7 linked regions of the Ovis aries genome follow. The protein of the gene in region 2 purifies or fractionates together with the protein of the main gene of each other region. This does not show direct contact. Links are inferred from orthologs where the notes say so. Each region holds a gene or a part of one and is shown on either strand. Other genes may lie near its edges. The genes, in order: SNRPB2, SF3A2, U2AF2, DNAJC8, SART1, PLRG1 and DDX42.

Region 1 (4,072 bases), on a different chromosome or scaffold from region 2:
ATTTCATGGCAAACATTTGGAGGAACAATGGAAACAGTGAGAGACTATTTTCTTGGGCTCTAAAATCACTGCCTATGGTGACTGAAGCAGTGGAATTAAAAGACGCTTGCTCCTTGAAGAAAAGCTATGACCAACCTAGACAGGATATTAAAAGCAGAGACATTACTTTGCCAACAAAGGTCCATCTAGTCAAATTATGGTTTTTTCAGTAGTCACATATGGATGCGAGGGTTGGACCATAAAGAAGGCTGAGCACTGAAGAATTGATGCTTTTGAACTGTGTTGTTGGAGAAGACACTTGAAAGTCCCCTGGACTGCAAGGAGATCCAACCAGTCAATCTTAAAGGGCATCAATCCTGAATATCCATTGGAAGGACTGATGCTGAAGCTGAAGTTCCAATACAGTGGTCACCTGATGTGAAGTACTGATTCATTAGGAAAGACCCTGATGCTGGGAAAGATTGAAGGCAGGAGGAGAAGGGGATGACAGAGGATGAGATGGTTGGATGGCATCACCAACTCAATGGACATGAGTTTGAGCAAGCTCCAGGAGATGCTGCAGGACAGGGAAGGCTGGTGTGCTGCAGTCCATGGGGCTGCAAAGAGTCGGACACGACTGAGTGGCTTAACAACAAAAAGGCTACTGTGAGTGTTCTGAGCACCTTTGTGATAGGTCTGGATTAAATGTGTGATGCTGGGTAAGTTAGGTGTTATTACATGTGTTCTCAGTTGCATCTTACAGTGCTTTCAACTTACTGATGTGTTTGTCCTGTCTAGTCGTGTCCAACTGGACCATCCCATGGAGTGCAGGCCACCATGCTCCTCTGTCCACGGGATTTCACAGGCAAGAATACCGGGGTGGGTTGTCATGCCCTCTCCTCCAGGGAATCTTCCCAACCCAGGGATCGAACCCAGGTTTCCCGCATTGCAGGCTGATTCTTTACCGTCTGAACCACTAGGGAAGCCCACAGATGTGTTTATCAGGATGTTCTAGGTTAAACAGCGCTAACTCATGGTGACGGAACTGATCACCGTCTGTCCTTATACTCTTACTGCGCTCCCCCAGAATTCGAGTTAAACCCACAGAATTCCCCCAGGCCTATTTCCCTTACCGCGTTTCCCCTTCACACCTGTTCTCCCCATCCACCAGGTGTGCGCATGCTCAGAGCGATTACTTACTGTGGTCTAGACCGACGGACATCGATCCACTCTGGGCTCGGCTTCTTGACTGATCGGCTTTCGATTGAGGTGCGTGGTAGCGTCATTTCCGGTGGCTGGTTCCGCTTCCGGGTTCTGGCTTGTGGTTGTTACGGGACGTAGAGGACCTGTTCGGTGAGTTGGCGGGGTTTTTTTCTTCGCTCTCTCCTCTCTTCTGGCTGCGGGTTGCGGCTTAGGCAGACCTTCCCCTGCGGGAGCCGAGAATAAGCGGTCCGCTGCGCTGGGGCCGGAATATATGCAGCCGAGGGTGCGTGGTGGGTCGCCGAGGAAGGCCTGGAAACTGACGCTCGGGTCTGGCGAGGCCCCTGGACTTAGAGCTTGTCTTAGGCGGGACACTTTGGGGCCGGGCATGGCGTGGCCGCTTCCTGGGGCTTCGGGCGGAGCCCGTGGGCGGACGTCGCTGCGTCTGGAGAGCCGGCACCCTCGCGCGTGTGAAGTTACGGAAAACCTTCGCGTATGCGAGGCGATTACCGCGCGCCGTGCGTTCTCAGGGACCTCCCAGAGGCTCCCCTTTTGAATCCGGAAGGCGACTCCCTGCGCCCCTGCTCAGTTTGATCCCTGTCACTTCCTTCTCTTCATCGTCTTCGAGTCACCAATCCACCAAGATTCAGTTTAGGGGTCTCAAACCTCTGAGAGGCGTTCAGTTCAGTTCAGTCGCTCAGTCGTGTCCGACTCTTTGCGACTCCATGAATCGCAGCACGCCAGGCCTCCCTGTTCATCACCATCTCCCAGAGTTCACTCAGACTCACGTCCATCGAGTCCTTGATGCCATCCAGCCATCTCATTCTCGGTCGTCCCCTTCTCCTCCTGCCCCCTATCCCTCCCAGCATCAGAGTCTTTTCCAGTGAGTCAACTCGTCTCATGAGGTGGCCAAAGTACTGGAGTTTCAGCTTTAGCACCATTCCTTCCAAAGAAATCCCAGGGCTGATCTCCTTCAGAATGGACTGGTTGGATCTCCTTGCAGTCCAAGGGACTCTCAAGTGTCTTCTCCAACACCACAGTTCAAAAGCATCAATTCTTCGGCTCTCAGCCTTCTTCACAGTCCAACTCTCACATCCATACATGACCACTGGAAAAACCATAGCCTTGACTAGACGGACCTTAGTTGGCAAAGTAATGTCTCTGCTTTTGAATATGCTGTCTAGGTGGGTCATAACTTTTCTTCCAAGGAGTAAGTGTCTTGTAATTTCATGGCTGCAGTCACCATCTGCAGTGATTTTGGAGCCCCCAAAAATAAAGTCTGACACTGTTGCCACTGTTTCCCCATCTATTTGCCATGAAGTGATGGGACTGGATGCCATGATCTTCATTTTCTGAATGTTGAGCTTTAGGCCAACTTTTTCACTCTCCTCTTTCACTTTCATCAAGAGGCTTTTTAGTTCCTCTTCACTTTCTGCCATAAGGGTGGTGTCATCTGCATATCTGAGGTGATTGATATTTCTCCTGGCAATCTTGATTCCAGCTTGTGTTTCTTCCAGTCCAGCGTTTCTCATGATGTACTCTGCATAGAAGTTAAATAAGCAGGGTGACAATATACAGCCTTGACGTACTCCTTTTCCTATTTGGAACCAGTCTGTTGTTCCATGTCCAGTTCTAACCGTTGCTTCCTGACCTGCATACAGATTTCTCAACAGGCAGGTCAGGTGGTCTGGTATTCCCATCTCTTTCAGAATTTTCCACAGTTGATTGTGATCCACACAGTCAAAGGCTTTGGCATAGTCAATAAAGCAGAAATTGATGTTTTTCTGAAACTCTCTTGCTTTTTCCATGATCCAGTGGATGTTGGCAATTTGATCTCTGGTTCCTCTGCCTTTTCTAAAACCAGCTTGAACATCAGGGAGTTCATGGTTCACGTATTGCTGAAGCCTGGCTTGGAGAATTTTGAGCGTTATTTTACTAGCATGTGAGATCAGTGCAATTGTGCGGTAGTTGGAGCATTCTTTGGCATTGCCTTTCTTTGGGATTGCGTTACCTTTCACCTGTTAACCTACAGAACAGTCCTCATCTGTAGGCGTTTTGCTTGTCAGACATCCTACGCTATGCAAGTACTATGAGTGTAAATGTTTGTGAAATGAAGGTATATGTGGGTTATCAGGGAATAAAGCAAGGTCCCAGTTCGTGACTAAAGAGTGGGAAAAATGAAATAGTGTGGTGGGTGTGAAATAAAAGTGCAAGAGACAGAAAACGAGGGTTGAATTTTCAGGCCTCCTGCGTATCACCTATGTAACCGTGGGAAAGAACTTGCATTAACTTTTTGTTTCGTCGCCAAATCATGTTCCACTCTTTGCGACCCATGGACTGTATTCCGCCAGGCTCCTCTATCCATGGGATTTCCCAGGCAAGAATACTGGAGTGGGTTGCCATTTCCTTCAGGGGATCTGCGTGACCCATGGTTCGGGCCCGCGTCTCCTGCGTTGACAGGCCGATGCTTTACCACTGAGCCACCTGGGAATCTGTGCTTTATTCTGTGATAAACAGCAGTGACAGCTGTTGTAAGTGCTTACTGCTCATTCTAAAGCTGCAAAGAATTTTATCTCATTTAGTCTTCTGAGCTCTATTGGGCAAATCACCATCCCCATTTTACAGATATGAACCTGTGAAATTAAGGAACTTGCCATCAGTCAAGCAGCTAGTAAGAAGCATAGAAAGATTTGAATTCAAATCCACTGGCACTAGATCCTAAGTTTTTAACCATCATGCTGTACTATACCAGCGTTTCAAGTCGGTTCCATTTGACTTTGGAATCAGGACTGTTGGTGATGGTGTGTGTAAATTAAGCAATAATATGGAAGTGCTTTATGAGAGTACCCATGCAAGGATTCTTAGCCAATTTCATTAATGTTCTGTATCTTAT
Region 2 (3,104 bases):
TTTGTAGCCTGGGCGGCCGATCTTCACAAACTTCTTCACTTCTACCTTGACCTTCTCCGGTGCTGGCTGGGCGGGGGCCTCCTTGGCCTCCTTGGCTGCTCGCCGGGCCCTGCAGGTGGGACGGACACAGTGTTGAGGCCCCTCCTCACAGGCCATCAAGGCCACAGCCCCAGGCGCCAGGAGCGCCCATCCCCGGCCGACCTTGGAGATGTGAGGTGAGGGGGACAGCAGGCATGGGAAGGGGTGCCAGGTACTTACAAGTTGGTCTGATGTTTCTTCCCCTGGGTGTGCGCGAGGTAACTCCCCTGGAACATGAGAGGAACATGCAATTGAGGGCACAGTGAGGGAGTGGTGCCCGGTGTCCCACCCGGGCCCGCCTCCATCCACAGGGCTCAGTGCTGACGGGCACCCGGTGGCTACTGAACACATGAGCTCTCGTGGATCTGCACACAGGGGGACGAGATGCTCAAAAGCCAGAGATGAGAGTCTCGGGTCGGGGGGACACAGCAGTCTTGTGGCTGCCAGGATGTGGGTGGGGCCAGTGGATATTGCTGGGCAGTGGTGGGGACACCTGGAATAAACATGCCCTTTGATTCCACCTCAATAATGTCCCAAGAAGAAAACATGTGTATCAGCAGTTTCCAACTGGAGGCTTTTCTGACCTCCAGGGACTCTATGTCCAGGATGGTCCCCCAAAGAGAAGGGGGAGCCTCAAAACCGCTGGGAGATGCTCCCATACGAGACTATTCAGCTCAGTGCAGCTGTCTGGAGCTGCGAACCATCTGGACAGAAAGTGCGCCCTCCTTACACAGGAAAGGACAGAGAGGACCTGCTTATGGCGAAGGACAGGAACCCAATGCAAGCAAGCATCCGACTGACACTTGCTTAAAGACTCAAACTAGAAGCCATGCCTTCCAGACCTCTCGCCCCACGTGGACATCCTGGACATCCCCACATGTACAGATGCACATCTGTGATGTCGGAGCCACTGATGTTACAGGAAACTGACAGATGGAGGTAGGGACCCCACGGTGGCTGTCCCAGTGCCGTGCAGGGCGGAGATGGCACAGCGGGGCTCTAAAGCCAGTACCTCCCTGGGAAAAACGCACCTCATTGTTATGTAGCGTCAGGCACAGCTTGCACTCATAGGAGCCCAGATGGTTCTTCATGAAGTAGGGGTCCTGCAGAAGAAACACATGTGTCAGGCAGTGGGGGAGACGCTCAGGGATGGAGGACAAGCTGGAGCCCCAAGCCAGCACCACCGCCCCTGGGATCCCACAGGGTCCACTGCACGGGGTTAGGGCTGGGGCTGACCGCCCGCCTCTGCAGCAAGCCCCGGAGAGGGCTCCCTTGAAAGCCCCCAGCCCCACATTAGTGGTGGCCTGGGATCTAGGAAGAGGCAGAGCCGAAGGTGCACTGCTGATCCTCCAACTCCCCAGCCGGGACAGGGCTCCTCGTGCTGCAGTACAAGCTGGGCGCGGGCAGAGGAGAGAAGCAGGCAGGCCAACCCCAGGCCTGGGGAGACCATGGTCTGGAGGGCGCTGAGCTGCTGCTTTAGGGTGGGCAGGTGGGCGCACACCTTATTGATGTCAATGGTTTCTAGGGCCAGCTGTCGCAGGCGCTCCCGGCGGTCCCGGTTGCTCTCAGAGGAGGAGGCCACACCCCCGCTCCCGGTCTTGCCCCCGGGGCGATGCTGGAAGTCCATGGTGAGACCCTGGGCACTCTGTCAGACCAGGGGAGAAACCTGCGGAGGCCAAGGGGCAGCTGGTGAGACTACATGTGAGATCTCACCCTCCTGGCCTGGCCTCACCTCTCCCCACTCTCACCGCCCCAGCCCTGGCTTCACCACCTGTCTCCCAATGGCTGAGGGCCCATGCTGGGCCAGGCACACAGGGATGAGGAAGGAGAAACAGGAGAAACGAGGCATCTCCAGGTGACAGTAGGGGTGGACCGGAGAGGAAGGTCTCTTTGACTGAGGAGTGCAAAGACCCAGGGACCCGAAACAACAACAGAGAAGAGGAGGCTGAGTTCTCACTAATTAGTCCCATCTCCTCTAAGCAGCCTTCCCAAACTGCCCAGGCCCACACCATTCACCCCCTTCTCTGAATCTCTTTTCTGCTCGTCTACACTTCCTTCCCGCAACCTAAACTCTACTTCTCTGATTCAGCAGTACATTTGCTGGAACAAGGAACACATCCGTCTACCTGCCTGCCCCCGACCCCCACTGCCTAACACACGAGACAGTCACAGCTCGTTTGCAGCTGAGGCAACTCTTCCAGGCCCTGGATTCTCCTCCATGCCCATCAAGCTATCCAACTGCTATTTCCTACTGTTCCCCATACTGCTCCAGGTGCAGTTCAGATCCAGCCTCGGGTACCTTCCTCTCATCCTACACTCTCTTTACTGTCAAAGCTGGCCCCAGGCCCCTGGTTTAAACCCACAGTATCTTGACTCTGTTAGGGTAAGCTCACAGAGATGGGGCCCAAGAGTGTGAACCCCCAAAGATGTACCTGTCCTGCTCCCTGGGGTGTCTGGACACGTCACCTCACGCAGAAGAGGGGACTTTGCAGGTGGGATTAAGTTAGGTCCCTGAGATGGATACGACCCTGGATTCCCTGGGGGGGCCAAGTGTCATTATAGGGTCCTTATAAGAGGGAGGGGGAGGGTCAGAGGCAGATACAGGAGATGCTGCTCTGCTGGCTGTGAGCCAGGGATGCAGTGCCTCCAGAAGCTGGAAAGCACATGTCTTTCAGCAGGAGCTGGTGCTCCCCTGAAGCCTCCAGAGGGAACAAAGCCCAGTGAGACTAGTGCTGAGTTTCTGACCACATAGATGCAGCGCAAACTCATGTCATGGAAGCCACTGGTGATTTCCTGTACCAGCCAGCTGTGCCACTAACTTGCCCTACAACTTGATGAGTTTATGAAAACCTCACGTCGGGTGACCAGTAGGGTGACCTAGCTGGCTGCAGAATCACCAGGCCTAACTCTTTTACTACACACAAGGCCACCCAGAGCCATCAACTGGTAAAGGCAAAACACTAACAGAGCCAAGAGTTCCAGTCAGTTTGGGGACAGCCAGTTCCTTCATAAGCAGCCAGAAGAAC
Region 3 (3,500 bases), on a different chromosome or scaffold from region 2:
GGTCAGTGCACGCGCCAGAGCCCATGTGGACGCCCACGTGCCCGTGGAGCTCCTCCTCGGGCCTGACGGGCGGCTGTCCCTGCTCTCCTGTCTCGGGGCTTCCGCTGACCCCTGGCTTGAAGCAGGTCTCCCTGCCGTGGTCAGTGCCGTCTGGGTAGGTGGACAGCGAAGCAGACCTGGGTGGCCAGAGGCTGCTCTCTGATGGGCCAGAGAGTTGCTGTGCTTTGCAGCACATTGTCTCTGGTGGAGCTCCTCGGTCACTCTGGCCCGAATGCTCACAGATGCTGGCGTCGGGGGCCCTGTCACACTCATGGTATAAAAGGCCCTTCTGGAAAGTCCTCAGACCGGGCAGGAGCAGCACATGGCTGCACCGGACCTGCAGGCTATGCCGAGGGTGGGCCTGTGTTGGGGGCATCCCCGCCCCCGGGGGTTGAGAGCACGGGTTGTCCTAGCTGAGGTTCACACCGAAGGGCGCGCTTTGGAAGCAGTCCTTGTGCTTATGAAGCCAGGGGTGCGGGGCCCAACGAGGGCGGCCCTTGGGGACCACCTGGCTCCTCTCTGGTCCCTGCTGAGCGTGTGGGGGAGGCCAGCAGTCTCTGGAGCTTGTGGGAGGCCCTGACCTGCTGATTTGCCGTGTTTTCTGTGCACGTGTGTCTGGGGGATCAGGCCACAGGATGTGCTTCGGTGCCTCCTGGTGACCCAAATGCGTCCTAACCATCCTGTTGATGCAGGCTGGCCCAAGCCTGCCATGCCAGGCACCATCTGGGGGTTCCCTGTGGGTGCGGTGGTGTCGTGACTGTCCTGTAGTACAGGGTTAGAGCTGGTGCCTCACCCCTGTACGCAGGCCTGCCTGTCATCCTTCCCTTGTGGGAGCCTGGCTCTCACTGTGGCGGGTCTCCTCTCCTAGTATTTGCCTCCAGTCTCCATGGAGGGCTGGGGCTCCAGCCACAGTGACTGGGGAGTGTGCTTCCTGGGCTGTGGAGGGGGTAGGAAGCCAGATGCTGCATGTGGGTGAAGCATTCTCAAACCAGAGAAGTTTCTCTGTAATGACGAGTTTTTTTTTTTTATTTAATTTTCGCCGTGCGAGTCTTTGTTGCTGCTTGAGGACTCTCCTTAGTTGCGATGCTTCTTGTGGCAGTGGCTTCTCGTGTGGGGCTTGAGGGCGCTTGGGCTTCAGTTGTGTTCTGTGGGCTTAGTTGCCCCGAGGCAAGTGGGATCTTCCCGGGCCAGGGATCGAACCCTTGTCTCCTGAGTTGGTGGGTGGATTCTTAACTACTGGACCAACTACTGGACCACCAGGCAAATCCTAAACACAATATTTTGATTTTCCTTTCTACTCCAACGAAGAAGTCGAGTTCACAGATTATTGAAGGGGTGAAAGTGATAGTCCCTTAGTCCTGTCTGACTCTTTGCGACCCTGTGGACTGTAGCCCGCCAGGCTTCTTTGTCTGTGGGATTCTCCAGGCAAGAATACTGGTGTGAGTTGCCATTCGCTTCTGCAGAGGATATTCATGAGCCAGGGATCAAACCCAGGTCTCTTGTATTGCAAGCAGATTTTTGACCACTGAGCCACCTGGAAAGCCCCAGGGAGACGCACTTAGTAAAATTCAACAGATGCTTTTGGTTGGAGAAGAAACAGTTCAGGACCCTGGATGGAAGGGGCACGGCCTGTGGCCGTGCACCTGTGTGGCCCGGTGGTGTCTGCAGGCCAGGCCAGTAGCTGGGCAGCTAGGGCTCCTGCTGAGGCGGTGGCGATGCTGCGGGGCCTAGGGAGGCTTCAGAGCCCATGGGGGCTCTGGGCACCCACGCCAGCCCAGAGCCTCTGTCTGCATCGCTCGATCTGGCGTGGGCCCTCCTGGCAGCCTCAGCACGGCAGGCTGGTGGTGGCTGGGACGCGGCCTGCCCTTCCCCGTGCTGGGCCGCCTGGAGTTCGGCGGCCTGTTGTTCTCATCCGCCCCCGCTTCCCCCACCAAGAGCCTTGCTCCGGGCGGAACGCTGCCCCTCTGGTCCTCCGGGCTACCGGCGCTGGGTCGAAGAGGTGGGCCAGGCCAGGTGGCTGGCCGCAGTGGGCCCTGAAAGCAGTCAGGAGCAGGCCACGGTGTGGGCCCCGGGGGCTGGAGGACAGCGCTGCAGAGCCTGGTGGGCTGGGGGGCGGGGGCGCTCAGCAGGGGGTGTGGCCAGTGGGTGCCTGGTAGTCCTGAGGCCTGCTCTGTTGAGGGGCCCCCACCGGACGTAGCTCAGTGCTCGGGGTGGGCACAGCCCAGCCTCACGTACATAGAACACTGGGCCCGAGGTCCCACGGGACCTGGCCCAGAGGCATGGGGGTGGGCAGGCCCGGGGAGTTGAGGCCCCTGGGGAGCCCTGGTTAGGGGGTGGGGGGGCAGGAGCTCTGAGCTGGGGCCCGAGGGGGAGGGGAGGCCGTGGTTTGCGACCCTCCCTGGGGGCTGAGAGCTCCCCCAGCTTGGGGCGAGTGTGGTTGCTGACCTGGCCCATCGTGCGGCTGTGCCCGCTGGTGTCGGGTGTCGTGAGGAGGGGGCTGGCAGCCAGGCGGGCCCCCCTGGAGACAGCCCCCAGGTCCCCGTCATGACCGTGCCAGGAATCGCAACCTGTCTGCTCTACTCCCCTCCCCCCAGGAGTCGTGTCCACCGTGGTCCCGGACTCTGCGCACAAGCTGTTCATCGGGGGCTTACCCAACTACCTGAATGACGACCAGGTAGGCCTCTGCCTGCCCCGAAAACTGATGGCACCGTGGCCCGACCCCCGGCCCCCACCCCCTGCCCCGCCCTGCAACCTGACTGTGCCCCGGCCCACGCAGGTGAAAGAGCTGCTGACGTCGTTTGGGCCGCTCAAGGCCTTCAACCTGGTCAAGGACAGCGCCACCGGACTCTCCAAGGGCTACGCCTTCTGTGAGTACGTGGACATCAACGTCACGGATCAGGTGAGCCCGGCCCCAGCGCGCCCGGCCCTGCTGGGGTCTCCCCTCAGGGCGGGGCGCGGGGCTTGCAGCTCTTCCCCCTTTGCCGTGCCCTGTCTGCCACGCAGCCTGCTCTGACCCCGACCACCTCTCCCTGCCCCGGCCCCTCCCCCGCCCCACCACAGGCCATCGCGGGGCTGAATGGGATGCAGCTGGGAGATAAGAAGCTGCTGGTCCAGAGGGCGAGTGTGGGCGCCAAGAATGCCACGCTGGTGAGCCCCCTGGCACGTCATCTTCCATTGGCTCGGGGCACTGGGGGCGGGGAGGGGCTGGGTGCTGGCGGGTCCCCCCACACCGGGGTTGGGCACCCCGTGACCCCTGCCTCCACCCCTCCACAGAGCACCATCAACCAGACCCCTGTGACCTTGCAAGTGCCCGGCCTGATGAGCTCGCAGGTGCAGATGGGCGGGCACCCGACAGAGGTGCTGTGCCTGATGAACATGGTGCTGCCTGAGGAGCTGCTGGACGATGAGGAGTATGAGGAGATCGTGGAGGATGTGCGAGATGAGTGCGGCAAGTATGGGCT
Region 4 (4,067 bases), on a different chromosome or scaffold from region 2:
CCACTGTCAGAACTGAAATTTTAGTTGGAATGAACCTCTGGCATAGTATATATACTATCTTTATTTCTATGGCCAAAACAGAGTTGGAAAGGATTTCAATAACAGGAAAAGCTACTCCTTCTCAGCACCTTCCCTCTTAACTCTTGTAAAACAGCACGCCACTCCCCACCTTCGACCGTACTCTCTTTTTCCCAGTCTCATTTTTCCTCATAGCACTTAGCACTACCTAACACTATATTATACATCTGTTCATTATTCAGCCTTCTCTGTAAGATGAAAGCCCTATGAAGACGGGATTCTTCTTTCTGCTGTCAACTACCATTTCTCCAAGGAGCTAAACAATACAGGACGAAGTGCATATCAGGTGCTCAATAAACATTAGTTGAATGATGATTAAATGATCCTCCTTTAGACATTTTCTCTCATTAAACAAACCATGCCAGTGAATATGTAGATTTAAAAAAAAAAGGTGTCTGCAGGGCAAGCTCTAGCACTGCTGGAGTTTCCTAAGAGATATGGCTCATTTCAATGGGGCCACAAAAGGGAAAATCAGACACCCATGATGTTTGTACAGTACCTAATATGAAACCCATAGCCCATGAGCATGTAACTCATTTCATGAAAACCGTTCTGTTCATAACCACGAGTAGCTAAGACGAGCGCAAACTACCGCAAAACAGTCATAAGTCATTGCCCCCAGGAGAAAATATTCCGTCCCACAAAAAAAAAAAAAAAAAAAAAGTCATCTGTGCAATACAGCTCACAAATGAAATTGACATTAAAATTTAAACAAACCAGGACTGCTTTAAAAAAAAAAAACTAAGAAATTAAAACAAGTTCCCCTATAATTGTTCAGTACCCATTATTGTTAGTCACTCAGTCGTGTCTGACTCTTTGCAATCCCACACACTGTAGCCCGCCAAGCTCCTCTGTCCATGGAATTTTTCAGGCAAGAATATTGGAGAGAAGCCGTTCTCTTCTCCAGGGAACCGTCCCCGCCCAGGGTTCAAACCCCGGTCTTCCATATAACCAGCAGATTCTGGGCAGATTCTTTACCATCTGAGCCACCAGAAAACACTGGTACCAGCAAATTAACACTTCAAAGTGAATGAGACATTTTGAAAGTAGACTATAAATGGATGTACTATGTTGTTTTAAAATGTATTATTTCGGAGAAACTACTATGTAACAAAAGTGAAGTCGCTCAGTCCTGTCGGACTCCATGGTGTAGCCTGCCAGGCTCCTCCATCCATGGGATTTTCCGAGCAAGAATACTGGAGTGGGTTGCCACTTCCTTCTCCAGATCTTCCCGACTCAGGGATGGAACCCGGGTCTCCCGCACTGCAGTAAGACTCTTTACAGTCTGAGCCACTGCTGCTAAGTCGCTTCAGTCGTGTCCGACTCTGTGCAACCCCACAGACGGCAGCCCACCAGGCTCCCCCGTCCCTGGGATTCTCCAGGCAAGAACACTGGAGTGGGTTGCCATTTCCTTCTCCAATGCAGGAAAGTGAAAAGCGAGAGTGAAGTCACTCAGTCGTGTCCGACTCTTAGCGACCCCATAGACTGCAGCCCACCAGGCTCCTCCGCCCATGGGATTTTCCAGGGAAGAGTACTGGAGTGGGGTGCCACTGCCTTCCCCGTCTGAGCCACTAGGGAAACCCAACTATGTAGCAAGCACTGTTACAAATACCAGAGATAAAAGGTGAATGTAACACGGTGCTTAACTCTGAATACATCACAGCCAGGTGGCGAGCAACTCCATTCCTCAAATCCACACCAAGCTAAAGAAGTTCACATCCAGCCTTGTTTTTAACTTTTACAAAGTAGCTTCTTCTTTATATTTTATGAAACTTTCTTTTAACGCTCATTAAAACTCGTTTTAATAAAAAACTTCGTTCTACAAACGTGAAAATTGATTAGCAAAATCAATGGCTTGAAAGAATTGTCACAGTCACGTTAACAGCCATGCAAAAATCCAACCCGAGGTCCTATGACTCCAAGAGCCATCCTTTTCTTTATTCATTCATCCACTCATTCATTCATCCACTCAACAAATATTCACTGAGTAACTACTGCGCAGCACCCGATGGAGATGCGACAGTAAATGAGGCTCAAACCAAACTTACTTCGGTCCTAACATGATACCAAACTATCATCTGCTCTAAGACCCTGAACAAATTATTTCACCTCCCTAAACCTCAGGTATGTCATCTGTAAAATGGAGACAGTGCCTACAAGGCATGATGCACAATGCCTAGCGTTCTCGAATGTCAGAAATAACTACTACTAAAACTCACTACAGAGGACTAAGAGGAGAGAGTGCTTCCGTTTTGAATACAATCGGGGACCGGTAACCCGTTTAACCAGCCTTAGGCAGACCCACTTTCCCAGCCGCAGAAAGCATCCGACTACGCGAACTTGGGGAACTCTGCGCGCGCCCAAGCACTTCGTTGGCCAAACTCGACGCCTCCCCTCAGACGTCAGACCCCCGCCCCCTTTTAGTTTTCCAGGGGATCCCCCCTGCAGTATCAGAAGGAGACGCACACACACCCCGAGTCCCCCACCTCCCAAAAGGCCAGACAGGAGGGGCCGCCCAACGGTCCAGGCCAGGAGGATCACTGCCTTCTCCCACTGGGAGGATAGCCCCGGGCGGGGTCGCCCCGGTGCCGCCATTCCTCACTCCGTGTTTACCTCACTGTAGAAGGTCATAAATGCTTCCTCCGTGCTGCCTCCTCCACCCGAAGCCCCGCTCTCTCCTGGAGCCGCCATTTCCCCGGCCCAGCGACCACGTGACTCTTCTGCGCAGGCGCCACCTCACGTGATTCTTACAGGCCCGCCTCTCTAACCCCGGCCCTTTCCTTGCGTCTCTTAAAGGGGTCGCCGCCCAGCCAGGTACCTTTAAATAAACTTTTAAATTGGGGTTCCCCAGGTGGCGATAGTGGTAAAGAATCCACCAGCAGCAGGAGACATAATGAGACAGGGGTTCGATCCCTGGGTTGAGAAGATCCTCTGGAGGAAGGCCTGGCAACCCACTCCAGCATGCTTGCCTGGAGAATCCCATGGACAGAAGAGCCTGGCGGCCTACAGTTACGAAGAGTACAACACGACTGAGGCTACAGCCCATATGGTCGCAGAGAGTCGGAGACTGAAGTGATTTAGCACGCATGCACAGATGCCATACAGTTAACCATTTTAAAGTGAACAATTCAGTGGTCTTTAGTATATTCCCAGTATTGTGTAATCACCACCTGTCTAGTTTCAAAACAGTTGCATCGCCCCAAACGGACACTTAGTACCTAATAAGCAGTTTCTTCCCATACTTGCCAATGTCTCTATGGACTTACTTATGCTGGATGTTTCATGTAAATGCAGTCATACAACATGTGACCTTTTGTGTCTGGCTTTTTTCACTTAGCATGTTTCCCTGGTTCTTTCAAAATATAGCACACACCATTACTTCATCACTTTTACGGCTGAATAGTATTCCATCATACGTGTATACCACAATTAGTTTATTCACTAATTGATGACATTATTCACATCAGTTGATGGACATTTGGGTTGTTTCTATCTTTTGGCTATTGTAAAATGGTTCTGCTATGAAGGTGTGAGTACCAGTTTTCTACTGGGGGGAGGTATGTACCTAGAATTGAAATTGCTGCTGCTGCTGCTGCTGCTGCTGCTAAGTCGCTTCAGTAGTGTCCGGCTCTGTGCAACCCCATAGACGGCAGCCCACCAGGCTGCCCCATCCCTGGGATTCTCCAGGCAAGAACACTGGAGTGGGTTGCCATTTCCTTCTTGAATGCGTGAAAGTGAAGTCGCTCAGTCGTGTCCGCCGCCCCTTAGCGACCCCATGGACTGCAGCCCACCAGGCTCCTCCGCCCATGGGATATTCCAGGCAAGAGTACTGGAGTGGGGTGCCATTGCCTTCTCCCTGAAATTGCGAGTCATATGATAATTCTATACTTAACCTTTTGAGCAACTGCCAAGCTGTTTTTCGAAGTGGCTGAACCATTTTACAATCCCACTAGCAATGTAGGAGGGTTACAATTTATCCACATCCTCAC
Region 5 (3,500 bases), on a different chromosome or scaffold from region 2:
TCCTGTGTGGGTGCTGGCTGTGGCCTTGGGGTTTCCTTGCTGCTGTGATGGGGTTTGGGATTCGGCTGCTTGTTTAAGCTTGAGCAATTGACGTGGCAGCCTCAGTATGGCTGCGAGGTAGCGTTAAAGGGACCAAGAGATGTGCACAGTGCTGCACACTCATCTGCGCTGTGCACGTGTTGGGTTTTTTTTGTTTCAGTTTGGTTTTTTAAAGTATGACCAGAGGGGCTTTGGAAGGCATGGAGGGTCCCCTCTTCTTGGGGGGGATGTGGGAATGTGGGGTTGCCGGGGATCAGGAGGCAGAGGATTCTTCCCTTGCTTCTGGCTTCTCTGGCCCCCTGAGTGGGACGGGGCAGCGTGAGTGGCTCCCTCCTTTCCCCACCAGCCTTGGGCAGGCATAGCCTCACGCCTGGGCCTCCCTTCCAGAGGCGGGCACCAAGGAGGAGCCCGTGACAGCCGATGTCATCAACCCCATGGCCTTGCGACAGCGAGAGGAGCTGCGAGAGAAACTGGCAGCTGCCAAAGAAAAGCGCATCCTGAACCAAAAACTGGGGTGAGGGTCCCCGCCAGGTGGGCTCAGGCAGAGTCTGAGGAGGCACCCCGGAGATCTGGAATCGGGGTCGGGGGAGCAGGAGCTGGTTCTCCAGAGGATCTTTCTGCTCTGTCTTCAGGAAGATTAAGACCCTGGGGGAGGATGACCCCTGGCTGGACGACACCGCGGCCTGGATCGAGAGGAGCCGGCAGCTTCAGAAGGAGAAGGACTTGGCAGAGAAGAGGGTGAGGTGCTGGGAGTCACCCAGTGCCTCTGGTGGCCTGATGGCTGGGGGGCCACAGACGGGCCATGGGGACGTGAGGTGGGGGCTCAGAGCAGTGGGAGGCCTGTGCTCAGTGGCGCCTGCGTTGGCTTCTCAGCAGCTTGCTTGTTTAGGTCTGTGCTTTTTGCATCCCCACTTAGTAAGGCCCCACATCTTCCGGTGATCCAGAACAGCTTGAGGTCATAGGTCACCGCCCCATCCCTGTCCCGTAGGCCAAGCTGCTGGAGGAGATGGACCAGGAGTTTGGTGTCAGCACCCTGGTGGAGGAAGAGTTCGAGCAGAGGCGGCAGGTGAGGCTGCGGCAGCTGCAGGGAGCGGCCGGGGAGGCTGCTGTCCCAGGTGCTGGGATCCCTGGGCGGCGTCCAGACTGGGCTGCGCTTTCTGCCCTGTCTCTAGGACCTGTACAGCGCCCGGGACCTGCAGGGCCTCACCGTGGAGCATGCCATCGACTCCTTCCGTGAGGGGGAGACGGTAATCCTCACCCTCAAGGACAAAGGTGGGTTGCGCTGGGCAGTCTGGCTGGGGGCCCAGGCCCTGTGGGTGGAGGAGTGTGACCGGCTGCCACCTTCTCCACTCCGTCTGCAGGAGTGCTGCAGGAGGAGGAGGACGTGCTGGTGAACGTGAACCTGCTGGACAAGGAGCGGGCGGAGAAAAACGTGGAGCTGCGCAAGAAGAAGCCCGACTACCTGCCGTACGTGGAGGACGAGAGCGTGGACGACTTGGCCCAGGCAGGCCGGCAGCGTGGGCACCGGGCAGCGGGTGTTGGCAGCAGGCGGGTGGTTTGGGAGGAGATGGTAGCTCTGTGGCTATTCAGGAGCCAGACTGCATTCCAATCTGTCCTTCTTGCCTTGCAGCACAAACCTCGCTCTATCCTGTCCAAGTACGACGAGGAACTCGAAGGCGAGCGGCCGCAGTCCTTCCGACTGGAGCAGGGCGGCGTGGCTGATGGCCTCCGGGAGCGGGAGCTAGAGGAGATCCGTGCCAAGCTGCGGCTGCAGGCCCAGTCCCTGAGCACGGTTGGACCACGACTTGCCTCTGAGTACCTCACACCAGAGGAGATGGTGAGTCCTGAGGTCTTCGTCCAGACCTGCCCCTCCCTCTCCTCAGGGGCCACAGGCTGCCAGAAGGCACTAGAAGGGGGATCGGGTAATCGCATGGTACTTGGTCCCTGTGGATGAGCAGTAACCGGCAGCCCCGAGGAGGCAGCCGGTGTAGACAGAACAAGGACTGTGAGCCAGGTGCCCCTGAGCTGGTGGGCAGGCCCTGCCACATCTCCAGCCTATGCCTGGGGTGTCATTTAACTGTGAGCCTGAGGCTCCTCCTCTGAAATGGGGGTGGCAGGAGCCCCCTCACGGGGACTGTTCCAAGGGCTGGTGGTGGTCTGGTAAGCGGTTGTTTTGTAGGGTGTCACCTTTGGGCTGCTGTGTGGACACGCAGGTAGACCTCTGGCTCAGTAGGTTGCTTGCCTCTGTGGTTGAGAGCAAGACTCTGGAACCAGTCTCGGGGGATTTCACTGTCCTGGCTCTCCTGCTTAGGAGCTGGTGACTTTGCACAAGATACTTAATCTCTTGCTGCCTTAGTTGTCCTCATCTCACAGATGGGATGATGGTTACTCACGTCTCACTCACGTGTGTGAACTGCTGCATAGCAGCAAGCAGTGTCCACTCCTGTGGGCTTGTGCCGCCTGCCTCCGCCTGCCCTCAAGTCTCTCCTCTCTCCTCCTTTCAGGTGACCTTTAAAAAGACCAAGCGGAGGGTGAAGAAGATCCGTAAGAAGGAGAAGGAGGTGATCATGCGGGCCGATGACCTGCTGCCGCTTGGGGACCAGACTCAGGATGGGGACTTCGGTTCCAGGTGGGCTGGGAGACAGCTGGGTGTGGGGGCTGGGCCGGCCCTGGGGCCAGCCTCACAGAGAAGCCTCTGCCCGCAGACTGCGGGGCCGGGGGCGGCGCCGGGTGCCTGAGGCGGACGAGGAGCCCCAGGAGGAGGGGGAGAAGGAGCCCGTGCCTCAGCCGCCACCGTCAGATGACACCCGCGTGGAGAACATGGACATCAGTGATGAGGGTGAGGGCCCGGCCTGTGGGGTGCGGGACCCGAAGAGCCAGGCGGTGGTCTGAGCGGGTGTCTCCTGTGTCTCCCCCAGAGGAGGGCGCTGTGCCGCAGTCTGGGTCCCCAGAGGTGCTGGAGGAGGACGAGGCGGAGCTGGAGCTGCAGAAGCAGCTGGAGAAGGGGCGCCGCCTGCGGCAGCTGCAGCAGCTGCGGGACAGCGGCGAGAAGGTGAGGGGGCTCCGGGGATTGGGCGCGGGCGGGCGCTGGGGCCCACGTGACAGGTGCGTCTGTAGCCACTTGTCCTCGGGGGCACGCGGTCCCACGCCGTCACAGGCGGTCTCCGTGTTCTGGTCTGCACCCTCTCTGTGTTCCACGTCGTGTTACTGGTGGGTTTCTAGGTTCCTGCCGTGCTTTCACTGTGGGATGCTTTAGCGCTTCGTTGTTTGCATTTTCTTTCCTTCTGGGCTGTGTGTTGCCTCGCTATGAGTGAGGCGTCATCCTAGGGCTGGGAAGTCCCTGGGGGAAAGGACAGCCAAGGGCTCCTCTGATTTTCATGGGGCAGAAATGGCAGTGACTTGTGAACACGAGCAAGCTGAGTGGTCTCTGCTGGTGGCAGCTGTGCAGACAACACAGGAGC
Region 6 (4,039 bases), on a different chromosome or scaffold from region 2:
CTCCAGGGGATCTTCCTGACTCATGGATTGACCCAAATCTCCTTTATCACAGGCAGATTCTTTTACCGTGTGACCCACCAGGGAAATGCCCTTAAAGCCAAACTTACACTCAAACTCAGAGATGACTGTATTTTCAAATACATGTATGATCTTAACGTTTATAATTAATTAAAAATTAATTTCTAAATGAGATGAACAACTCACATTGCTATACTTTGATAGATTTTTCTCCCTGTTAAAGCGGGGTGCTCTGGTGAAAAGATCTGCAGAAAGTGACTATGGTTAAAGAACAGGAGAGCCAGTAAAACGTTCGCCTATTCAAATTTGCAAATATCCAGTTCCATCAATTTTTCTTCTTACCTAGTAATATAGGTACAACAATCACAAACTGCAGTCTACCTGGGTATAAAACAAAATGCCCATCTTTTGGCACCAGTCTGTATATATTAATACATAAAAATGCCTTGTCTTCAGTTGTGGTTTTTTTCTACCAACTTTGGCCAACTGTACTCTGGCATTGTTGAAGCCACATTTATCACTGGACAACTAGCAAACAAGAGTTATGCCAAGAGTTTTGAGAGATTAAAATTTTTAAAAACCTGTATTAGTGGAAAATAAAGGAAATGGCCAAGAATTCTGAGAGACTTAAAAAAAAAAACAACTATGGAAAATAAATTTGAGATGTTGCCACATGCTATTAAAACCAAAATCTTTTGCAAAATTTCTCAAATTGAAACTGTTCCAACAAGTGCTTAATGGACAGCATAAGTGGAATTGTTTCTGGGCGCCAAGAATACAAAGACGTCTAAAGGCTTTCAGCCGAACTGAGTGAAATAGCGCAATCTGGCCACGTATATCACGGAGGCGCCCCCTCAAAGAAGGCAAGAGCGTGTAAGAGCCTTCCCGCGCTCTCCGGAAGTTCCCTAGAACTGTTGGTTTGTCTGAAGAAATCGTTTTACCATTCCAGAGAACAAAGGGCAAGCAACCACAACCGTAAACCAAAGTATTTAAGGCTGTGAGTAAGAAAACGTTTCTGTGAGCAGAAAACGTTACTATCTCAAGATTTCTGCAAGAGCAAGTGAAACACGCCCTCACGCGACTCCAGCATCTTCCGCTTTGCCGTCCAGAAGCTCCTCCCCAGAGGCGGCCGGGGAAGAGCCCGTTGCTTCACCTCGGAAGGCCTGCGAGCGCCTCGTGCGCCTGCGCGGGGCCCTGCGTCACATCCGGGCCAGGAAGCGCAATTCCGGAAGGGGCTGAGCAGTCGTGGCGGCGGTTTCTGTCCTGTCTGTTGAGTAGTGCTTCTTCCCTGCTGGAGCGCCTGTATAGACGGCGGAGCCATGGTCGAGGTAAAGTGACACTTGGGTGCTCAGGGGCCGTCTGCTTCTGGATTGTTTTTCTTTGGCCGCGGGCGTGGGCGATCGAGGGTTTGGGAGTGTGGGAACTGGAGAGAGTAGTGGCTGCGAAGGGAGGCTGTTTGGCCGAGACCGGGTGGTCTCGTAAGGTTTTCTGGAGGAAGAGAAACCAGAGTTGTGAAGTGAAGCGAAAGTCGCTCAGTCGTGTCCGACTCTTTGCGACCCCATGGACTATACAGTCCATGGAATTCTCCAGGCCAGAATGCTGAAGTGGGTAGCCTTTCCCTTCTCCAAGAGGATCTTCCCAACCCAGGGATCGAACCCAGGTCTCCCGCATTGCGGGTGGATTCTGTACCAGCTGAGCCAAAGGGAAGCCCAGGGAATACTGGCGTGGGTAGGAGTGGGTAGCCTTTCCCTTCTCCAGCAGATCTTCCCGACTCAGGAATCGAGCCGGGGTCTCCTGCATTGCAGGCGGGTTTTTTGTTTGTTTGTTTGTTTGTTTTACCAACTGAGCTGTGAGGGAAGGCCTTCCAGGCGGGAAGCCTGAGGCAATTACTCCAGTTTTCACGCGGTCCTTGGGTACGGAGTTCGTCACGGAGGCGGGGCATTTATTGAACATCGATGTTTGACCACAGGTACTCGCCGTCTGCTCGGTAGTCAGTGACTCTATGTCCTCACTGGTGGTCTCCTCTCATCTCACTTTGTCTCCTATTTAAGCTCTTTTCCGGGAAAACCTGCCATTCTTGAATTTTTGCATTTCCCCCTAACTATCATTCTGTTAGCAAGCTCTGTTCATCTCATCTCAGAATTCTGGGCTCTTTGTCTAGGCCCACTGTCCTCACCTGAATTCAGACCGCATCATCTTCCACCAGCTGATGCATTTGCTTTTAGGTGGTCGGTCTTTTTGCTTCCGCGTTTGTCATCCCTCTCCCTTCCGCACCAAATTGATCTGTTTAAAACCTAAGTTGATCCAGCTTTTCTTGCATGAGACTTTAGTGGCCCTATGTAAAACTAGAGCAAAAATGCACACTGCTGCAGTGGTATAAAAAACAACTTACTGGGACCTGGTCTGTCCTTACAACCTCATCTTCCATCATGAGCCCTCCTTTTCGCCTAACATATACTATGTTCTACGGCTTCTGTACTGTACATTATGTACTACAGCTCCTGGCAGTATTTCAGTTACAGAACGCTTTTGTATATGGCTTTTTCTCCTTGTCTCGATTTTTTTTTTTTTTTTTTGATTGATTGATTTTTTTCAGTTTCGCTGGGTCTTCGTTCCTGCTCTTGGGCTTTCTGCAGTTGCAAGGAAGGAGGGGCTACTCTTCATTGCGGTGCGGGACATTCTCATCGCGGTAGCTTCTCTTTGCCGAGCACAGACTCGAGGCGCATGGGCTCCTGTAGTTGTGGCGCAGGGACTTTAGTTGTTCTGTGGCCTGTGGATTCTTCCCCGACCAGGAATGGAACCTGTGTCCCCGCACTGGCAGACAGATTCTGATCTGCTGTACCACCGGAGAAGTCCTGCCTGGATTGTTCTTACCTCTATTTTGTGCAAGACTGATTCCTTCTCTGCTTAGCTGCCACCTCAGAGAGATCTTCCATAACCAGCCTAAGGTCTTGCTCTGTTCTGTCTCAGTCCCCTGCTTGTTTCCTTCATAGCAATTATTAAAATTGCTTACCCTATTTTTATCTGTTTCCTCTTGAGCACAGGGAGGTGGCTGCCTTTTCATTATTCCTTTGTTAGTTTCTAGCACAGTACCTGGCACTCATTTAATGGGAACTCATTGTTTATTGAACATATGACTGATTTCAGGCATCATTCAGTTGGTATACTTGGGGCTGTGGCCCAAGAGAAGCTTCCTCCTCTTCTCTGAACTTGTCTCCTATAGCTTGTTATAAATAGCTGTGGTGAGTGGTACAAAGTTTTACATATTTAAAGGTGTAAAGTTTATAATTAATTTGCTTCAGTTTAGATTATGATGTATGTAATTTGTAGCTAGGTATGTAATTACACTCTTTCTTTTTAGGAGGTGCAGAAGCATTCTGTACACACGCTTGTGTTCAGGTCATTGAAGAGAACCCATGACATGTTTGTGGCTGATAATGGAAAACCTGTGCCTTTGGATGAAGAGAGGTAGGGATAGTTCCCTTTCAATTGCTAGAATGTTTCAACTTTTAATAATGGGGGAAGAGAGCAGGGAGAGGGGAACCTTTAAAAATTAGTGAGTCATACTAACTCTTAGGAGATCTATTAGTAATGAATGATGTTTTGGCATAATTTAAGCTGATTTAACTTTTCTTTTTGGCTTTTTACAGAAAAATTCCTATTAATTAATTGCATTTTACAAATACCCAGTAATTAGGAGAGTCCCTTTTAGGTGTTATATTTTATAATCAATCACTTTGTATGTGCTTTCAGCTTCCTGCTGCTCTCAGAGCCTTGCTGAGCTGAAATTGTACCTGGCCAGTACCTCTACTCCCATCTTTTCTCGTTAGTATGATGAAGATTCTTGAGTGGTGGCATATTTTTGGTTCTACATCTCCAGCTCCAGTCTGAGATTGCATTATGTGCAGTGTTCCTTCTTTGTCCTTTACCCTTCTTTTAAAATCTACCTAATTCCTCAAACAAGCATTTATAATTAATTAACAAAGTGGGCTGTCCTTAAAAGTAGCATAGTACTTGCATT
Region 7 (4,006 bases), on a different chromosome or scaffold from region 2:
TCTGTCTGTCAAACCAGCTGGGTCTAATCTCTCCCCAACGCGGAGAATTAGTTCTCTGCTCCATTATTCTTGCTGCCCGCTCCAACTTTGCTCTGCGGGTTGGCATTTGCTCAGAGTTCTGGAAGTTGCCCAAAACCGTTAAAGCCATCCCGAAGAGAACTCCCAACAGAAAACAGGGATTTGGGGTGGACAAAGTTTGGTATGTTCTTAAGAAAATCGGGAAAGGCGAGAAGGCGCGAGGATCGAAGCATGTCACCTAAAGGCTGGACTTAGGGGCTGGACTGGGAACAGGGACCCGGGTAGGCCACGCAACTCAGCGTCACCGCTCGGCCCGGCCAGGCCCCACCGACCAGCGCGTCACGGCCCGCGCCCTACCTGCACTGGGGGCTAGAACCCGGCCCGCTGCTCCTGCGGCCGCCGCCTCTATCCCGCTAGCCTCTGGTCCCGGCCACCGCCTGCAGGGTCAACGCGACTTCACTGCCCCGACGCCTCTAGGACACAGCCTGACCAGGCAGCTCAGTCACGCCGCGCCACTCTTCACGTAGCCTCCGCCAGCCGTTACGTAGAATGCGTGAGGCCTGCCCGCGCCTGCGCGCGGCACGGGGCCGGGACACAGCCCTGGGGACTGCGCGAAACCGCCTGCTCCCCCCCAAGATGAGGCGAGGTGGGGCGGCCGGGAGAATTACATAAGCACCGCCCCTGGGCCGGAGCTGCCGGCGCCTATCCCAGTGCTCTCCGCTAGGGTTCAGTCTAGTTGTCATCACGCTGAACCCCTGCTCCGGAAGTTAAAAGTCACCATGCTCTACAAGACCACGTGTCCAGGGGCACGGGGAGAAATGTCGCCCAGGTCGTATTTGCTAAGGAGCAGAGTTTAGGGAATCGGCAATTTCATGTGCATGTGTTTTCCAATCGAGCCCCTTTTGGGGGATTTTTTTTTGGCGGCTCCCTGCCACTACTACTTTTCTTCACTCCCAGACCCACTCCCTATACGGGCCATGAACACTCCTCACTCAGAAGCAATGGCTGTAAGAGTCTGAGGGGTCTGTGCGGTATCCGGGAGCCTTAAGGCCCAGAGCCCGCGGCGCCTTCCGGGAGCCGTAGACCAGGCTCCGCCCTTCGCCCGCGCTTTCCGCACTGCGCATGTCCGGTTTTGTTCCCCTCCCCCCTCCGTCAGCAACGGGCCAAGAGGCGGTGGCGGCGGCGCCGGCGGCGGCGGCAGCGAAGGGGGCGGAGAGGGAGGAGCGCGGCGGGACGGGGCCTGGACCGCGCGTACTTCGGGCCGTGAGGTTCTCTCCGAGTCAGCGGTAGCAACAGCTGCCTCTGCAGCCACAGCAGCAGGTTTGCGTGAGGTGGGTCTGGACGCGGGGCCGTAACCCCTTGGGGGCACCACAGGCAACTGCGGGGCCTAGTGAGGGCCAGGGAACCGCGGCCTCTCTTAACAAAGAGTCGGCGGAGCTTCCAGGAAGCCGAGGCGCAGGGGCCCGGGGAGGGGTAGGAGTGCGGGACTGAAGACTCGAGGAGCCTTTCGAAGCCTCGTCGCCCTCCTACGGCTCCCGCTTCTCCCACAACTCTTAATGAGGCCCAGTTGGCGGCTTTACGGAGGCGGCGATCGCCCGTCCGGGAAGCGATTTGCAGGGTGCTGGGCTCCGGGAGGCATAGGCACGGGGAGGATTCTGACCCGAGCCAGCAGCAGTTAACAGATGCTAGTTTCCAGATCGGGGGACCTTCCAGGCCAAAGTTGCCAAATCTGAAGACAGTGAAAGGCATAGTCTGTGATCTTTGTGTAGCTTTGAGTGTATCTGTGACTAGCATCAGCCTCCTCACAAAACTTTTCTGCTGCCTGCTAAAGAGCCTTTCTGATGTGGGTAAATAATTTATATGGAGTTGCAAGCTTAGGGCACCAATAATATAAGGAAGAAAGATCATACTTGTCGAGACTTCGGGGGAATCGTAGCTTTCTTATCACCTTAGCGGAAGCTTTGCCCCCTCACCCCTTTGGGCGGTCATTCAGATTCCTCTGGCTTCCCATACATTTTGGTTTTTTGTGAATGATCTTTGTATATATCTATTTTCTGTATACACACCACCGAACTCCTAAAGAGCAGAGATTCTGTTTTAATTCGCTTTAACTTTCCAGAGCCAAGCCCAGTGGAAGGTCTTTCATACCAAAATTCATGTTGAGACTTTAAGTGGTTAAGGAAAAAAAATGTATGTTGTATTTTCCTGTACCCAGAAGAGACATACTCTGGCCTAATATGCAGTTCATTCACCCAAGAAATATTTTTGTTGATAACTTCTGTGTGCCTGTTCCCTACCTGTGTGCTTGATTTGTGACCCGACCCTCCTGAAACATTGTAGTGAGGGGAAGAGAGAAAACAAATATGTAAATTATACTGTAAGTTAGAAGATGATTAATGCCTTAGGTGAAAAAAAAAAAATAAAGCTGAAGAGAGGAATGGGGAGATGTTGCATTTTTAAACAGCATGGTCAGGGAAGTGTTTACAGACAAGCTGATGTTTAAGCAGACTAGATAAGGAGGTGAGGGAGTGAGCCCAGCTAGTTTCTGGAAGAATGATCCTTCCAGGCAGAGGAACCAGCAAGTATAAAGACCTTGAAGAGGACAATGCTGGCTTGTTAGAGGAACAGTTAGAAGACCAGCATGCTTGGAGTACTGTGAGCAAAAGGAGGAATTATTAGGAGATAAGGTCAGGGAGGGGAACAAGGCGTTGCAGGGAGCACCAGACAACCAGGACCTTTTAGGCTGTTGTGAAGATTTCATTTTTATTCTGCCTGAGATGGAAACTGAGAGTTTTGAGCAGGGGAATGGTAAAATCTGACTTACACTGTTAATAATTTAGTGCAGTTTGTGGAAGAGTACAGTTCTTTATGTTTTAGTTTTTATCACATCTTTATGTAATCAGCTCTTAGTTTCTTTAAGCCAGCAGAGGGAAAAGAGATGCTTCCAAAACAAGTGTAATCTAGCATTTACTTATTTTGGCTTTAGAAGAATGTGTTGGAATTCTTGGGTTTTGTACAAATTCTTGGTAAAGAGTCAGATTTATAGTGTGTGAGTTATTCTCAAGGCAGATTGTTAGATAGAGTAGACGGTGATCAACTGTCACTAGAAATCTTTCTCGTACTCCAAAAACACAATGATAACGAAAAAGTAACATTTTATAATCATTAGTTTTTAGTCCACTATTCTTAAAGTCATTTGGATCTTATTTTCCACTATTTCTCAAAACATAAACTAGCCAAATTATCTTCCTTGTGTTCCTACACTTATTCTAATTTCCTAGACTTTGCTGTTTCTAGCTTTCCTCCTTGCATCATGCTTCTCTACTCAGCTTATATCTTTCTGTGTTAAAAAAAAAAAAAAAAACAACTTAATCTTCTGGGTTCTAGCTCTCTTTTGAAGCCTGTCCCCATTTGTCAACTTGTAGTGATCTCTGACATCTTCAGTGTCATGTGGCACCAAGGTATGGAATCTCTAAGTCGAAAGAAACTTGAGAAGTCTTAACTTGATATTCTGCATTAACCAATGGAGAGATTGATTTCTGGAAAGAAAAAAAAAAATGATAAAACATGACAGCTAGTACGCATTGTGCACCATTTGCCAAGCTTTGTTCCAGGTGTATTTTTGTGTGTGAATTCAGTTTTTCACACCAACCCTATGAAGTAGGTGATAGTCTCACCATCTTATAGATGAGGAAAGTAAGGCCAGAGAAGCTGAATAACTTCCATGAAGTTCGCATCAAGTTAGCTGGCAAAGCCAGTGTTTAAACGTAGGCAGCTTGGCTCCACGGTCTGTGCTGCTTTACTGTGCTGTTAAGATTTTCTACTAAATCACATTTTAGTGCCTAAAACAGTACCAAGCAGGTATTGATACTTTATGCTGTCTTTAATTTTTCTGGTTGGCCAAGTTGTGAATCTCCCTAGGTCTCCTATACGTTGAGTAAACATGAATGATGAGTGTATTCTCTGGAAAACAGAAGAGGAAAAAAAA

What was found.
Region 1: the proteins of SF3A2 (region 2) and SNRPB2 purify together in Homo sapiens (affinity purification with mass spectrometry; 6 studies listed by BioGRID and IntAct, with this or other methods). This does not show direct contact. The link is inferred for Ovis aries from reciprocal best matches to the Homo sapiens genes SF3A2 and SNRPB2.
Region 3: the proteins of SF3A2 (region 2) and U2AF2 purify together in Homo sapiens (affinity purification with mass spectrometry; 3 studies listed by BioGRID and IntAct, with this or other methods). This does not show direct contact. The link is inferred for Ovis aries from reciprocal best matches to the Homo sapiens genes SF3A2 and U2AF2.
Region 4: the proteins of SF3A2 (region 2) and DNAJC8 purify together in Homo sapiens (affinity purification with mass spectrometry; 3 studies listed by BioGRID and IntAct, with this or other methods). This does not show direct contact. The link is inferred for Ovis aries from reciprocal best matches to the Homo sapiens genes SF3A2 and DNAJC8.
Region 5: the proteins of SF3A2 (region 2) and SART1 purify together in Homo sapiens (affinity purification with mass spectrometry; 3 studies listed by BioGRID and IntAct, with this or other methods). This does not show direct contact. The link is inferred for Ovis aries from reciprocal best matches to the Homo sapiens genes SF3A2 and SART1.
Region 6: the proteins of SF3A2 (region 2) and PLRG1 purify together in Homo sapiens (affinity purification with mass spectrometry; 3 studies listed by BioGRID and IntAct, with this or other methods). This does not show direct contact. The link is inferred for Ovis aries from reciprocal best matches to the Homo sapiens genes SF3A2 and PLRG1.
Region 7: the proteins of SF3A2 (region 2) and DDX42 purify together in Homo sapiens (affinity purification with mass spectrometry; 3 studies listed by BioGRID and IntAct, with this or other methods). This does not show direct contact. The link is inferred for Ovis aries from reciprocal best matches to the Homo sapiens genes SF3A2 and DDX42.

What each region holds. Positions count from the first base shown.
Region 1 is NC_056066.1:10,387,102-10,391,173, forward strand, and holds the start of SNRPB2 (U2 small nuclear ribonucleoprotein B''), read left to right. Parts: upstream 1-1,272; 5' UTR 1,273-3,710; intron 3,711-4,072. UniProt on the Homo sapiens protein: Involved in pre-mRNA splicing as component of the spliceosome. Associated with sn-RNP U2, where it contributes to the binding of stem loop IV of U2 snRNA.
Region 2 is NC_056058.1:19,186,462-19,189,565, reverse strand, and holds part of SF3A2 (splicing factor 3A subunit 2), read right to left. Parts: intron 1,745-3,104; 5' UTR 1,706-1,744; coding exon 1,580-1,705; intron 1,182-1,579; coding exon 1,110-1,181; intron 306-1,109; coding exon 259-305; intron 110-258; coding exon 1-109. UniProt on the Homo sapiens protein: Component of the 17S U2 SnRNP complex of the spliceosome, a large ribonucleoprotein complex that removes introns from transcribed pre-mRNAs.
Region 3 is NC_056067.1:62,662,731-62,666,230, reverse strand, and holds part of U2AF2 (splicing factor U2AF 65 kDa subunit), read left to right. Parts: intron 1-2,633; coding exon 2,634-2,713; intron 2,714-2,815; coding exon 2,816-2,938; intron 2,939-3,099; coding exon 3,100-3,198; intron 3,199-3,312; coding exon 3,313-3,500. UniProt on the Homo sapiens protein: Plays a role in pre-mRNA splicing and 3'-end processing. By recruiting PRPF19 and the PRP19C/Prp19 complex/NTC/Nineteen complex to the RNA polymerase II C-terminal domain (CTD), and thereby pre-mRNA, may couple transcription to splicing.
Region 4 is NC_056055.1:238,878,598-238,882,664, reverse strand, and holds the start of DNAJC8 (dnaJ homolog subfamily C member 8), read right to left. Parts: upstream 2,801-4,067; 5' UTR 2,770-2,800; coding exon 2,692-2,769; intron 1-2,691. UniProt on the Homo sapiens protein: Suppresses polyglutamine (polyQ) aggregation of ATXN3 in neuronal cells.
Region 5 is NC_056074.1:40,499,806-40,503,305, forward strand, and holds part of SART1 (U4/U6.U5 tri-snRNP-associated protein 1), read left to right. Parts: intron 1-385; exon of another isoform or gene 386-426; coding exon 427-553; intron 554-671; coding exon 672-777; intron 778-1,027; coding exon 1,028-1,105; intron 1,106-1,211; coding exon 1,212-1,311; intron 1,312-1,400; coding exon 1,401-1,543; intron 1,544-1,669; coding exon 1,670-1,876; intron 1,877-2,543; coding exon 2,544-2,668; intron 2,669-2,744; coding exon 2,745-2,878; intron 2,879-2,957; coding exon 2,958-3,091; intron 3,092-3,500. UniProt on the Homo sapiens protein: Plays a role in mRNA splicing as a component of the U4/U6-U5 tri-snRNP, one of the building blocks of the spliceosome. May also bind to DNA.
Region 6 is NC_056070.1:3,068,819-3,072,857, forward strand, and holds the start of PLRG1 (pleiotropic regulator 1), read left to right. Parts: upstream 1-1,239; 5' UTR 1,240-1,337; coding exon 1,338-1,346; intron 1,347-3,377; exon of another isoform or gene 3,378-3,379; coding exon 3,380-3,486; intron 3,487-3,771; exon of another isoform or gene 3,772-3,843; intron 3,844-4,039. UniProt on the Homo sapiens protein: Involved in pre-mRNA splicing as component of the spliceosome. Component of the PRP19-CDC5L complex that forms an integral part of the spliceosome and is required for activating pre-mRNA splicing.
Region 7 is NC_056064.1:47,759,555-47,763,560, forward strand, and holds the start of DDX42 (ATP-dependent RNA helicase DDX42), read left to right. Parts: upstream 1-1,206; 5' UTR 1,207-1,349; intron 1,350-4,006. UniProt on the Homo sapiens protein: ATP-dependent RNA helicase that binds to partially double-stranded RNAs (dsRNAs) in order to unwind RNA secondary structures. Unwinding is promoted in the presence of single-strand binding proteins.